2 linked regions of the Mus musculus genome follow. The protein of the gene in region 2 interacts with the protein of the main gene of each other region in a pairwise test. Links are inferred from orthologs where the notes say so. Each region holds a gene or a part of one and is shown on either strand. Other genes may lie near its edges.

Region 1 (2,969 bases), on a different chromosome or scaffold from region 2:
GTCCCTCCCTGAGCCCAGGCTGCCCAGGAAGGCCTGCTCTGTGCAGATGCAGGCTTAGTGCTACAGGCCTCTTGCTGAAGTCCTTCTCTGAGCTACAGATGTCCCACTTGCCTTTCCTCCACTTGTAGAAGCTATGACAGTGATTACCTCTGGGGGTGGGGAACTCTGTGTTTGAGGTATTTCTGTTTTCCATAATTAGCATAACATAACTTCTGTGGTTGAGAAAGAAACTCAGCAGAGTGGGGGTTTGTTGTTATTTTTAAGTATGTTAACAACTAAATGAATGAACAGGGAACAGAGGGAGAGACAAAGAAGCACGCGGCTTTATAAGCAGGATGCGGAGCGGGTGTGGATCAGGGTTGCATGCACAGGGAACCACCTATCCACAAGAGGTGATGACACACATTAACAGGCCTTCTAACTCCCTGTGGCAACTGTTGTCCCCAAGTAACACATGACAGGGGAACACAGGTCTGCCACCTAAAACTCGCAAGTACTCATTCAGCAGGATGCCTTTATTGAGAGATTTCTTAGTGTCAGGCTGCTGGGCACATGGGGACAGTGTAGGGCTATGGCTGTTAGAAGATCGGGGACTGCTGATGTCCTAGGAGTCTGGCATCCTGGGCTGAGCTAGGCAGGAGGGTTGATGCCAGTGACAGCTCTCAACCACTCAAGGGGCCTGCTGATGTCCATGGAGATGCAATGAGGCTGAAAGAGCTGTCTGGAAATGGGCAGCTACCAGGTCATTACTCAGGCACCCTGTGGCTGCTTGGGGCGCACACAGGAGGGTCACCACCATGGCTTCTTACGGGCAGGGTCTTGTGTCACAGACAAGGCCACAGAGCCTTGTGCTCGCTCCCACACATACCTGTGGGGACACAGATACATAAGAGTCAGGCAAGGCCAGAGCCCAAGGGTTCCAGGGAAAAGGGCATCATTGTCATGGCTTCAGAAAGTCCTGGCATATACTCACGAGGTTCCAGCAGGCACCAGCAGGCTGTCATCTGGGGCCAGGGCTATACACTGCCCTCCCATTGTCACCTTAGAGGAGCCCTCCTGTGAGAGAACAGCAGAACCAAGTGAAGGCTGATGAGGCTGAGCTCAAGGCCAGCCTGAGTGAATTAGCAAAACCCTGCATTGAAATAAGAAAAGTGTGTGTGTGTGTGTGTGTGTGTGTGTGTGTGTGTGTGTGTGCACATACATGAGTACATGCATGGTGGGTGTGGGAACGGGGAAGCAGGGGGTGTTCAATGGTAGAGCTCTTATAAGGAGGCCATAAGTTCCATCCCCAACACTACAAAACCACAGAAGAGGCTGGGGGCACATCAGGCCTCAACTCTCGCTTTCATGTCCCCGAGTCTGCCTCGCAAGAAGGCCCTGAGAGTAACTCTCACTATGGGAGCCTGAGGTCCAGGGACAAACCAACCCCCATGGACAGGAAATGGTGCCACCCAAACCTGGGATCCCACTTGCCTGTTGCCACAGCCACACATCCACATCCTGCCTTGGGCCTTTGCTGCTACCTTGTCCGTGGGCAATGACCTGGGGAAGACAAAGCAGAGCGTTTTGGGATTCTGCTCCATTTGGGAAATAGTCACAACCCTGGCCCTTAACCATTATCACCTTCGAGGGACAAGATGTGCCCACTTCCACAGCCTCCTCCCCATGTGACGAGCCTACTCGTCAGGGATCAGAAAGGGATCACACACACACACACACACACACACACACACACACACACGCCCTCATGGGTGTCACCAGCTCACACTCAGACACACCCAACCCGGGCCCCCAGATTTCCACTGCCCTTCCTGTGAAGTGTTCAACGTCTGACTGGGGAGAACATGAGGCTGGGGCCTGCTGGCCTTATGATTAGCGAGAGCCTGCGCTCCTGCAGGCTGTAAGGAGGGGTTAATGGCAATTGGCAAAGGAGAGCTAGAGCAGGTAGACACAGAGTAGGAAGAAGCCATTAGCTACGGCTGTGGTGGGTGGAGCTTTGGGCGTCCCTAGTACTGGAAGAGCAGTCTAAACCTGTGTTCTGCCAGCCTCCTGCCCTGGAGTGACCACTGTTTAACTTTTAAGTCTTCCTCCTCCTCTTCCTTGCCCTCTTCCCTCTTCTTCTTCTCCTCCTCCTCTTCTTCCTCCTCCTTCTTGTTCTTCTTGTTGCTGTTGTTGTCCTCCTCCTCCTCTTCCTTCTTCTCCTTCCTTTTCATCTTCTTTTTCATCATCATGATTATCTTCATCATTACCATCATCATTATATGTGAATGTATGATGTGTGTACATGTGGTCATACATGCATGACTTGTGGCATCAGCTCTCTTTCCACGTTTTTGTGGGTCTCAGTTATCAAACCTGGATTGCCAGGCTTATACAGTAAGCATCTCTGATAGTTTGTCTCTGCTTGGCCCAGGGAGTGGCACCATTAGGATGTGTGGCCTTGTTGGAGTAGGTGCATCACTATGGGCGTAGGCTTAAGACCCTCATCCTAGCTGCCTGAAAGCCAGTATTCTGCTAGCAACCTAGAACTCTCAGCTCTGCCTGCATCATGCCTGGATGTTGCCATGTTTCTGCCTTGATGGTAATGGACTGAAGCTCTGAACGTGTAAGCCAGCCCCCAGGTAAATGTCCTTTATAAGACTTGCATTGGCCATGGTGTCTGCTCACAGCAATAAAACCCTAAGATAGCACCTTGACCCAATGAGCCATCTCGCTGACTCCTGGTGACAGGCTGTGCCATTGGAAACCCATCACACATGCGAATAGCAGCATCCTTGTAGGTGTTCTCTGGCCCAACATCACAATGAAAGGCTGATGGCTCTGAAATTCACTCTAGACTTCTCCCCCAACATGTGGGCGAAGCCCCGATGTCTCTAGGACATGGCCCCTCCCTTAGTCTAGTGCAGCAGAGTTCTGGAAGCAGCTAGCAGTCCAGCCTCCTTGCTAGCCTTCCCACCTAGCTCTGGCCA
Region 2 (3,500 bases):
CTTTATGTACGCCTGGGGGTGAAGGTCAGAGGACAATTAATGGGGATCAGGTTTTTCTTCTCACCATGTGTGTTCTGGGATTCAAACTCTTGGTGGCAAACACCTCTACTGGCTAAGTCACCTTGTTGGTTCCATTAAGAAACTTTTAAAACAAATGTACCTATTGATGTTAACGACAAGTAGTGACTTTGGGCTTGCGTTTTGCATTTCATTTCTTAAACACATTCATGATAGGTGAAAGGAACAACCATCTAGTTCTTCACACATACTTTAAAAGACGCTATGATAGAATGCTTCTTCCCCGCCATATATCCTGGCCAAACCTGTCCCCAGTCCTCACAGGCAATTCACCTTCCATAGAACAGTGTGTCCCCGTCCAGCAATGGGCCAGCAGGCAAGTGTGGAAGCCATGGTTCTCAGCACATGCCCAGAGACTGTACTAGCTCTAACTACTCCCAAACTAGCTGAGCCTGAGTTTCAGAAGCCAGCATGGCTGATTAGCAGAGCAGCCTTCTGGCTGCTGATTGGGTTGGTGTTAATGAGAGCAGATGCACAAGGCTGGCCTGTGGATGGCTGAAGAGCCTGGGCAGAATCCAGAGCTGGCAAAGCAGGAACTTTCCCAAGAGGTGGAGCTGGAGGTCTCGCTCATGCAAAGGATTTCTACCCCAGGCTCTTTCCTCCACAACTTAGGGGCTGAACCTCCTGGAGACAATTCAGGAGGCCACTGTTAGACAAGATGAAGATGTAATTATGGAGACAGGCCATGTGATCATTACAGCAGTGCAAAATGACAGGGCTTTTTCTCTTATTGCAGTAAAGGCATTTATACGCTCAAAATGCCTATGATTACGTTGTGGGAGAATCAAATCCAGACTCTACGTTCAGACGAGATAACATAATGAGGAAGGAAACTAATCACCTGCCAGTCTTTTCTATATCAGACTAGACATTGCTGGAAAGCCTTAGTGTTTGGAGGGAAAATTAGTCCAAATCTTTACTATGGAAATCATTGAAATTAACAAGGAGTAGTAAATAGTAAGGACAGAGGCCATGCAAAGCTCTGACATCCAGATCACCTTTACTTGGCTGCCTTCTTCCCAGACCAACACAGTAGTTTTCTAACCTTCTTTCTATTTGTACTAAATAACTTTAGAGTTCTTAAGAATTATTATGGAGGACAGGCAATATGGCTCAGTGGGTAACGGTGCTTGCTGCCAAGCCTTATAGTCTGAGTTTGGTCTGGAATCTCATATGTTAAAAAGAGGAAACCAACTTCTGCAAGTTTCCCTCTGACCTCCATATGCACACTGAGGCACACACCATACACTCACATTCATAAACACTCAAACACACACTCATAAACACACACACTCATAAACACACTCACACACACTCATAAACACACACTCACACACATAAACACACACACACACACACACAGAGAGAGAGAGAGAGAGAGAGAGAGAGAAGAGAGAAGAGAGAAACAAATTTTGTAAAATTTAAGAAGAATTATTGTGGAAGTCCTTCTCTTGGCAAAATTTTTAGTAATAAGAGAATAATAAGAATAAGAACTTCCTGTGGTGATTCAAACTAAGGAGAAGGAACCAAAAAAGGTGAAAACTGACATACAAAGAGAGTTATCCCATTCACAAAGGAGATACCGTTAACTCAATCAGATACAGTTACATATGCAGTGAACTATCTGTGATCTATTACTGTCTCCCTGTCACTAGCCAGCCCGGGCTGGCCACAGTTCCCTGGCTAGCCATAGTTCCCAGGCTAGCCACAGTTCCCTGGCTAGCCACAGTTCCCAGGCTAGCCACAGTTCCCTGCTTCCTGGATTTCCTCTCCATACCTTTGCTTTCCACATCAGCCAGAACTTGAAGATGTCCACATGGCGGCCACACTGAATCGCCTTGTCCCCGGTGTCATAGGAGACGTCATACTGCTTGTCTGGCTGGAAGAGGTAGCCTGCACACATCTGGTTGCATCCTTGGAGTATACCCTGTCATAAAAATCAAGATGTGAACAACTGTCCTCACCAGTCAGAGATGTGGGTGTGAGGACGGGCCGGGGGCCCACGCCTCCTTTCCTCTGAGGCTTGCCATAGGTTCAGATGTCCTTTAAAGACACTCTTGGGAAAACCCCTGCCTTCTGCCTCCCCTGCCTCCCTTCTGCCACTCAGGTCAGAAAAAGTTCTTTTGTGTTGGATGTCTAAAACAAGGGCCTCACTGTCCCTCTAAGAGACATCTGGACATTTAAGTGGGGGAATTACTTTGTCATTCTTTGGGTGGGGCTTGGAGGATAAACCTCAGCAGGTGGGGAAGCTGGTGCTATGAAGAACTTCCTCTCCAAAGATATTACCCCCTAAGTCTTCCAGTTTATTTATGCAAGACCCCCAGTGATGTTAGGGTAAGTGGAGGAGAGCCAGTGTGGGCTCTGACTCCCAAAAGAGACACCTGAGGTGGGTACCTCTCTTGCAGTAGGTCTACGAAACATCAGTGCACTGGGTATATGTGGGGGTGGGGGTGGGGGTGGGGGTCGGGGTGGGGAGAAAAAACTCTGTCTGCAGCTCACTCACAGAAGCTCTTTTAGAAATCACATTTATTTCGTGTGTGTGAGGGTATTACATACACTCACATATGTATGTGTGAGATCAAAAGACACTTGAGGGAGTTTCCTCCTTCCTCTATGTGAATCTCAATGAAAGAACACAGAGCCTCAAACTTGGCAGCGAGTGCCTTGACTCACTGAGTCATTTTGTTGGCCCTACAAAACTCTGATCAGCAGCTCCTGCTGCCTACACTGGGATCTGGACTTCCTGTTCCATCTAACTTTTTCAGCTCTTGAGACTACAGTTATCCACTAAGAACCCAACGTATGCTCCGGTGAGCGAGGTTTGTTCTCACTGATGGGGATCAGCAACCACTCTCAGGTCTGTCCACACATGAAGAAATACCCAAAGAAGCTCATTGAAGAGTCTATCACCAGCAGGGCCCTAAGCACTGGACAAAGACAAAGGGCAGCCAAGAGCCAAGAGGAAAACCAGCATTAGCTGGGAGGGAGGGGAAGAAGCCTGCAGGCTTCCCGAGGGGCTGCTAACCCAGCGAGTACAAACCTTTTCCTTGACCAGAATGGCAGAGCACTGGAGCAGCACGCCCATCATCTTGTGAGGGTTCCAGGTGACTGAATTGGCCCTGGAAGACACACAGGGACCTCTGAGAAGATGGGAGGAAGGGAAAGAAGAGCCTATCCTGTTGAGGAAAACCCCATCGGCCCATCTCCATGGAAGTCACGGCTGCTTTCCTTGCCCAGTCTCCTAAATGGACCCTCAGCGGGAAGTGCATGCTTCAGGCAGTCTCCCAAGGTATTGCACTACAGAATGCTATATATAACTGCTATTAACAACAGCAGCCAGTTACTTCTTACATATCCTACTGTTCTCAGAGCTTTAGGGGTATATGATGGGAAATGGGACTAAGGTCTCTGGGGCTTTGCAG

The links. The genes of interacting proteins can lie anywhere in the genome.
Region 1: the proteins of Gad1 (region 2) and Haao interact in a two-hybrid assay, tested with the Homo sapiens proteins (4 studies listed by BioGRID and IntAct). The two-hybrid records come from large-scale screens. The link is inferred for Mus musculus from reciprocal best matches to the Homo sapiens genes GAD1 and HAAO.

The regions. Positions count from the first base shown.
Region 1 is NC_000083.6:83,830,854-83,833,822, forward strand, and holds the end of Haao (3-hydroxyanthranilate 3,4-dioxygenase), read right to left. Parts: intron 1,543-2,969; coding exon 1,474-1,542; intron 1,057-1,473; coding exon 974-1,056; intron 869-973; coding exon 790-868; 3' UTR 501-789; downstream 1-500. UniProt on the Homo sapiens protein: Catalyzes the oxidative ring opening of 3-hydroxyanthranilate to 2-amino-3-carboxymuconate semialdehyde, which spontaneously cyclizes to quinolinate.
Region 2 is NC_000068.7:70,593,129-70,596,628, reverse strand, and holds part of Gad1 (glutamate decarboxylase 1), read right to left. Parts: intron 3,198-3,500; coding exon 3,119-3,197; intron 2,006-3,118; coding exon 1,856-2,005; intron 1-1,855.